2 linked regions of the Neurospora crassa OR74A genome follow. Each later gene encodes a partner of the first gene's protein in a complex. Links are inferred from orthologs where the notes say so. Each region holds a gene or a part of one and is shown in the gene's direction. Other genes may lie near its edges.

Region 1 (4,195 bases):
AGGTCGTGCCTTCCTTTGACCTGGACGGGTGCAGCTTGCAAGTGAAGTGAAAGTGCAGTGTCCATTAGTAGGAGCGGGAGGCAGGCTCGCTCGTTGGAGGACGAGACGGGAGTCGATCTCCGAGCCGAGCTTCTGATGCAGTCCAGCTGAAGCTCCCGTCCGTCAGCGGGAGCTTGGGCCACCTAGGGCAAAGGTCGCACCCCGCACGGACCGCATCCAAACAAAGAGCGGCAGGCCTGGGCAATTTGGGCCTGCGTCACCTGACTTACCCCACAGGGCTGCTTGCCCTGGAGCCCTATGAGATAAAAGTTCCCCCTCTCCATTCGCAAGTTGAAACTCTTTCCCATCACCAACAAGCAAAACTCATCTTTAAATCCAAGATGTACGCGCTCCCGCCCCCCAGCATTTGCTTGCCCGCCTACTGACATACAAGCAGTTCAAGATGAGAGCGAAGTGGAGAAAGAAGCGCGTGAGACGCCTTAAGCGCAAGAGAAGAAAGATGAGAGCGAGATCGTAAGTTTCACCATCGGCGCATCGACAGTTGATGCAGCTACAATCGCCACTCAGGAGCATATAAGCTGACTCGATCCCAGCAAATAAACGCCTCGCCTCACTCGACCCAATCAGCTCTTGACATTATCCTCTAAGCCATTAGACAACTTGGGCTCGGTGTCGACTCCTCCCCTCAGCGCGGAATGACGCCACATCGGTCGCTCTGAAACCTTGCGGTGATCAGGCGAACTCAGGGTTCCTACGGAACATGCACCCCTCGGGACATGCTGCACATCAAACTGTGGCACACATAGAACGGAACTGTTTGGTGGCGGATATGGTATTGGCTGGTTGCCTGTCAACTTCATGGTTGAGTAGCAACAAGGTGTTTACGGATCAACGCCGGTGGGAGCAAACTGTCTAGTTTGGAGACGCGAATTCGGGATACCCGTCGCAGCAACAATAAAGGCCGCTTCGCTTCATGATACACTTCTCTGCATCTGTGACAAACGGGACTGCATGTCTTGGATCAATTGTTTCTGTCGACAACATGGTCATCTGCCCTCGAACAGGTGACATGGCATTTGCACACAAAGGGAATACCAATTTTTGCAACATCAGTGAACATTTTCAACGACGGGGAAGGCAGTGGCCTGCATGCACGAGGGCATAGAAATCGCGTCCCAAGCCTTGGTTTGCCTTGTGACTTGGACTGAACCCCTCCATGTCTGGTTGATTGTTTTAGCACGCGTGCGGCTTGCTATTCTTCATCTCTCCAAGCAATTTAACAGCAAACCAATAGCAATTGATTTCATAGCATGAAGATTTCGCGCTTCGTAGTATTTCAACACAAATCATCAAACATATTGCATCGTCGTCATCAAATGTGGTGTGTCGATTGTAAAGGCGGTAACTGATACCGGACCCCGGCAGGCGGCAGAATTTTTTTCTGGCTGCGGGATCCACTCGGAAGTTCAGACAGCGACTCTCCAGCTGCATGATCCATTTGATTTGGCGGGACTTCACGACTCTACACTACCCCAGCACCTTTGTAGCCCGCAAACACCACCATGGGAAGCTCATCAGACAAGAAGCGCAAGAGCGCTGAGGATACAACACCCCAAATCAAGAAGAAGAAGGTCGACTCCGAGAAATCGTCCAAGTCGCCCAAGTTCATCAATGTCGGAGCTGTGAAGAGGCCGCAGTATGCGCCTCCGGTCGTGGGTAAGCACATGTTGATCGGCTGAAACCATGGCCGTCAAGTCCAATGGAGGAAGACTCTAACATGCGCTCCTAGCCGCGACCTCGGGACTCGCTCTCTCTTCGTCCATACAATTTCAAGCCTACGCCACACCAGCCGACAAGACCTCGAAGCGCAAGAAGAATGGCGCGCCCGCACAAGAGTTGCTGCTGCACTCTGCCAACCACCGGACGATGGACTACACAGCTCGCGAAGATAGGACAGGAGACTCGTCCGACCCATACCTGAAGCACTACATTGGCATCTTCAACCCCAAAACCGCCGAGGTTGAGATTGTAGAGGCGCGCAAGATGGTGCTCCGTGGCACAGTTAGGTCGCAGAAGGCGGTTGACGAGGCAATGGAAGAGAAGACTCAGAAACAGGTAAGCCTGGAAGTAGTGGTCAGGGGCATAAAACCAGACTGACGGTGCAACAGCAAATGATGGCCATGAGGAACGAGCTCGGCGAGGCATTCGGTACTAAGAAGGCGAAGAAGGCGATCCGCGACGTGACGGAGAACGCCATTACATCTCAAAAGGTTGGCCAGAGCGAGCTGGTGATGATGGACGCCATCAAGACCGCCACCAAGGACATGTCGACCAAGGAAGACCTTCAAGCCGCTGTCGACAACGCCCGACCGGTACCGCGCGGCAACTTCAATGCCGATGAAATCGCAGACGTCTACGTACCATCCCAAATTATCGGATCCGAGGTCCTGAACGCGATACCAGTGATGGATTGGCAGGAGAGCGTCAAGAACCTAGAAGACATCCAGGTACCTTCGCGCTTTGTCGCCAAGCGCGTTTCCAACGTAGCAAGCAGCGACGACGCGGTGCACAGATTGAGGGTACTGCGGTACCTCTTGTTCGTCATCATTTTCTGGAATGCCACCTCGCAAGGAAGGGAGCGTGGCACAAGAAGCATTGGTAAGAGGGATAAGCTGCGCGAGGTTATGGCACCAGCGCCCGAGATCGTGATTGAAAACATCCGCCGCAAGTTCTCGGACGGCGGAGTCATGCGCAAGACACACGTTGACCTTCTGATGACGCACTGCTGCGCATTTGCCGCCATCATCGACGGCTTCAGGGTCAACACGATTGACTTGAGAGAAGATCTGAAGCTGGAGCAGAAGCAGCTCAACCAATACTTTATCGAGATTGGAGCTCGCGTCAAGCAACAGAAGGTCGCTGACAAGATGGAGAACTTTGCCGTCCTGCAACTGCCTCTTCAGTTTCCCAAGATCAGACTGCCGGCACGGAAGAGGTAAACCACGCTTTGCTGAGCCGGACCCACGGCCACGGATCATATCATCAAGTTTAGTTGGATTGTGCGCATTGCACATCATCCACCCAGTCCTACATTGGACATCTTGGCGCTTACGTTTGGAAGTACCCTACGAAGTGCTGAGAAAAGGCATGCTTTTTGCGAGAGAAGCGATCATCCAGCTCAGTTGGAAGTCTGGCCGCTTCCAGCCTGTAACCACCATGGTGTGTTGTTGAGACACACCCAAGCGACACCCAGGCGCTGGCCAATCAAAATTCCAAGCGCCTAATCGAGAGGAGGCCATGACCTGTACCGCACTATTTGAGCATCTTGCCGAGGTATACATCAGTTATTTTGTGGTTCGGGCAGTAAAAGCTAGGCTAGAAAGCATATATCATTGTATAGACAATGTAGAGAATAGTCATGGAAATTGATGGGCCATAAGAAGTATGGCGGGAAGCTTGTCCCTCAGTCTTTATCAAGCTCTGAATGGGGTCAAAGAGATGACATTGAAATCTAGGAAAAGGGTCACCCCACAAAAAGCTGGCCCCCCTGGGTTCTGGTTCTCAAGTGCCTCAACGCTTGGCCAACCCCTTTGTGTTTGTTTACTACTGATATCCGCACGGACCCAATAACGAAGATGGGAACTGATGACGGGCTTCGAGATGAGTAATGGGGCAGAGATGATCATTAACCTGAACCAGCTAACGCCAGTTGATGTGCAAAATCAGAACCACGAACGTCAAGCTAACATATGTAACAGGAAGAATGTCCGCGGCAAATCCTACGCAGATATCAGAGCAGCCGACGGCCAGGCTAGAAGAAAACAAGATGAAAAGGTAGTTATATGGCTGCCCTGGATGGGCATCCGCCCAGGCGTCACCTTCTACCGTTGTCCCCTTTCGCTGGCCGCTGGCCGCTGGCCGCCCCGCGGTGTGAGACGCCGTCGGTGGTAGGTAGGGCTGGGCCGAAGCCGATCACCCCACGATGAAGTTCCTTCCCCTTGTGCCTCCCCAAAGCGTCCCCGACTTTGTCCGTCCTCCCCGTTTCCCCTGGCCCATTGCCTTGACCATCCCATCGTCCGTGTGCCGGCCGCTGCTTGTGCTTCCCCTCGCTCCAGTCCAGTCCCCTTAAGTTGGACCCCTTGGCGTTGTGCAGAGTGAAGGCGCTTGAGCCGCATTCGAAAGCCACGTGGGGAAA
Region 2 (3,543 bases), about 2.2 Mb from region 1:
ACTACCTCTACGCCACTCCATTGGCTTTGATGCATTTCAGAGTCCGAGTAGACTGTTCCTAACGTTGTGACATCTTGTCTCCTGCTCCTCAACATACGAACTGTTCATCGAGCCACAAAACTCAAGTATATTGTCGACAGAGAGAGCAATATTGCTCACCCATTGTATTCAAAATGATGAAATAGTAGGATGAGGATCAGCTTCTGAATTAAATTCGATCTGTAACAAAAACGAGACGGAACCAAGGAATCAACAAAAGTCATACTAGGTATGCTTGCCGTTTGCTTTCCAAGCAGTTCACAGTTCCTCCATACCTGCAATCACTTTCTAGTAGTATAACTGTAGTATAAGTCCTGAAACGGTAGCTAAGCCATATTTGTCGAGGCCCCCGTTTTTGTTCTCAAGACATACCTAGGTAGCCATCCCACCAGGCAGTCGTCACTTCACACTACCAAAGTATCAACGCACTGAAGATGAACAGTTAAAATGCATGTAAGGAAATGGGAGTAGGCGTTTCATGTCCCAGCGAGTACCTCCCACCTCACATGGCCAGCTACAGTGCCTACCAACTATCGGAACCGCCGCATCTCGGGCAATAATTAATGCATACCTAAACTTGGTCCAAAGACAAGTAATTAGGCAAGAAATAGAAGAATACAGACAACGCTTCTACGTCATTTGAACCTTTAACAACAGTATAGAAGGTCAAGTACCTGAAACTGAAACATTGTCCTGGGGAAGACCATAAGCCCGATACTGCTCGGACCGACGACACGTTGTGGAAACGCTCGGATTGCTGTATACCAGACGATATACTTGACGTGTACCAGAGATCCAAGTCGAGAATGGTGTGCATGGTGTCACTTTTTGGACAATGGCCTCCGATTCCACCTCTTAGTGTACCGCGAGCGTCACTCTCTGTACTTGTTTTCCTTTTCCATCTTTCTTGATCCTTGTTGAAATGCTTTCCCTTACTCCCTAACATTCAAAACAATATTTCATAGCTCCGCCAGCTTGGAGTTATCTGGTTCTCATTCTCTGACGACCGGAGACGGATAACGACCTTGTGTGAAGTCTATCCTTGTCTCAAGTCAAGATTTCGAATTGCGGAGCGTATCAAATGCCATAGAGACCGTAAAGTTTGTGATGACTCTAAAACCCTTCCAGTACAATGTAGCTACCACTGAGTCATTTTGAAGAGGGAATGGTGATGATTTGAGTAGTACAGAGTCCAGGAACCTCGGGTTCTGGAGTTGGGGGTTCATCGTCAACGTGATCGAGGGTGTTCTTGCCTGAGAGTTTCGCAATCCCAAGATATTGGTCACGGAATGATTGCTATACGTGAACACCAAAAGAGCTTATTCAAATTCCGGGAACACTGGCCGATTAAATAGTGAACCGAATGTGAAGTCAAGTATTTGGAGTCTTGAGTCCGGGAAGTGAATGTTGAACCCGAGTGACCTCAAGTCCCCAGCGTGGAGTTGCGAAGTCCAAAGGCTCATCTCAGCTTGGTGGAGTATCCTCAGCAATGGAACGCGGGAGCAGGCCAATGCCCGTCAGCAGGTGGGGTCGGTAGCTGCTCGCCTAACTTTCAGCCGCCTCCATCTTCTTGCTGGGGGGCGAAACCCTGCATTTCCCAAATTCTTGGCGACGGATAAACTCTTTCTTTCCACGCTAAAAATTTCTCCGATAACAGAGGCAATAGAGGCTCAGTCAGGTTGTTGTTCACCACTCGCGTGCCGCCGACTGTTGAATTCAACCCATCCGTGTGTTCCTGGAAGGATTTACACAATCGAATAACAACAACTTTACGCAAAGATCCAAACCATCTTTCAGTTACCGGTAACTCACGTTACCAACAACCATTACAGTCAAAATGGGCAAGATCACCAAGTTCGGCGACGAGGGCGAGGAGGTTACCATGAAGGAGACCCCGACTTCTCACCAGCCGGAGGCTCAGGATGATGTCTCTATGGCCGATGCGGGCGAGGAAGGAGAGGAGGGAGATGAGGAGTATGAGGAGGGAGAGGGTACTAAAGTTAGACTTGTACGTGAAACCCTCCATGACGAATATATGTCGACTCGAGACTAACACCTGAGCACAGCTTCCTGGTTCTACGCCCACGGCCGCTTCTTTCGAGTTCCTTGATGAGAACCATACCCTTGGTAACGCGCTCAGATACGTCATCATGAAGAAGTGAGTACCGGGAGCTTCACTTGTCTCATGTTAATGAGCTGAGCTGTGACTGTGCTAACACCATTTCATAGCCCTGATGTCGAATTCTGCGCCTACGCCATTCCTCATCCCTCCGAAGCCAAAATGAACGTTAGAATTCAGACCTATGGTGCGTCATCTTTCTCGTCCACTTCTTAGCGAGACCTGTGAATACAGAGGTGAACTAACAGTAACATGCAGAGGGCACAACTGCTGTCGAGGCACTCCGCAAGGGTCTGCGTGACATTCAAGATCTTTGCGACGTCGTTTCGGATAAGTTCCTTGAGGCGCGCAAGGACTTTACTGATAAGAAGGCCGCTGCGTCTGCCTAAGCCTCTTGTTTCTCACCTTTCTTTTCATCGTTAATTTTCACCAGCATGGGTAACGGCGTTTTGGGGCTTGAATTGGTAGTAAATCACAAGGGGGAACAAAAAATAGACAAAGGAAAACTCGCTGTGAGTGGCCATCAAGATAAGGGGGGAAGATAAAAGAACAAGCGGCTGCGTCCATGGATGTTCATCTGGCTTGCGTTATATACATAGGCTCTAGAGGAAAGGCTGACATTGATACCCTTCGTTATTACTCTTCTTAGTTGCGACCCTAGATGAAAGAAGAGTATTGTGAGCTACCCGCACAATGAAGTGGCCATCATCAAAGACAAAAGAGCTGCATGTATAGGCTTACCTGCAGGAAGCCATCGATAAAGCTGGAGGGAAGTCTCTTGGCTCCACGGAAGCTCTCCTCGTTGAAGTACGACATCATGTGAGTCGTCTGGCGCCAAAAGTTCATGGTTTCCTGATAGACGCGTGGAGAGTCAGCGTCAAGTTACCAGAACAATCAGTCCGAATCGCCGCGACGCATAACATGCGCCAGCGCTCTGATATTCCCTTCTGACCCCTTGCCTGGAACCCTTTCCCTCTTCTTTTTGGGTGTTCTCCAGATTTTGGACATGACCCCACTGCTGTGCCCGTTTCTGGGGATCCCCTGATTCATGTCCGTGTGGATAGTGACGATGAAGTGGAGCCTTACTTGATAGTCGGCATGGCCCTTTGTGAGCAGAACATCCACCACGGGCAACTTGTTAACGAAGCGGTTGCGCTCGAATTCCTGCCTGATGCGAGTGCGAATGACCGAAATGGGGAGGGGTAGTGAGTACATAGACTGCATCTCGGGTGTCTGTTGTATGTGATATCCTGGTTAGCGAATCCTCGGTCGGGATTGTTCGCACTCCTCCCATTATATACGTCGATATCCAACGTGTTCGTCGAAAGCTGGAAATGCTCGTTCTATGTAGGTTCGCTCGTAACGTACCGAACGAAGCCATCGCC

The links.
Region 2: NCU06485 (region 1) and NCU00419 share a complex: the UniProt entries of both Saccharomyces cerevisiae proteins name them as parts of the RNA polymerase I (Pol I) complex. The link is inferred for Neurospora crassa OR74A from reciprocal best matches to the Saccharomyces cerevisiae genes RPA49 and RPC19.

Annotation. Positions count from the first base shown.
Region 1 is NC_026503.1:1,582,006-1,586,200, reverse strand, and holds NCU06485 (hypothetical protein), read left to right. Parts: upstream 1-1,489; 5' UTR 1,490-1,562; coding exon 1,563-1,716; intron 1,717-1,789; coding exon 1,790-2,115; intron 2,116-2,168; coding exon 2,169-2,999; 3' UTR 3,000-3,523; downstream 3,524-4,195. UniProt on the Saccharomyces cerevisiae protein: DNA-dependent RNA polymerases catalyze the transcription of DNA into RNA using the four ribonucleoside triphosphates as substrates. Component of RNA polymerase I (Pol I) which synthesizes ribosomal RNA precursors.
Region 2 is NC_026503.1:3,782,378-3,785,920, reverse strand, and holds NCU00419 (DNA-directed RNA polymerase I and III polypeptide), read left to right. Parts: upstream 1-1,662; 5' UTR 1,663-1,876; coding exon 1,877-2,047; intron 2,048-2,105; coding exon 2,106-2,197; intron 2,198-2,268; coding exon 2,269-2,345; intron 2,346-2,416; coding exon 2,417-2,547; 3' UTR 2,548-2,670; exon of another isoform or gene 2,671-2,803; coding exon of another isoform or gene 2,804-2,815; 3' UTR 2,816-2,899; downstream 2,900-3,543. Other genes in the region: nuo14.8 (NADH:ubiquinone oxidoreductase 14.8kD subunit), read right to left, coding at 2,804-2,815, 2,900-3,010, 3,245-3,391, 3,527-3,543. UniProt on the Saccharomyces cerevisiae protein: DNA-dependent RNA polymerases catalyze the transcription of DNA into RNA using the four ribonucleoside triphosphates as substrates.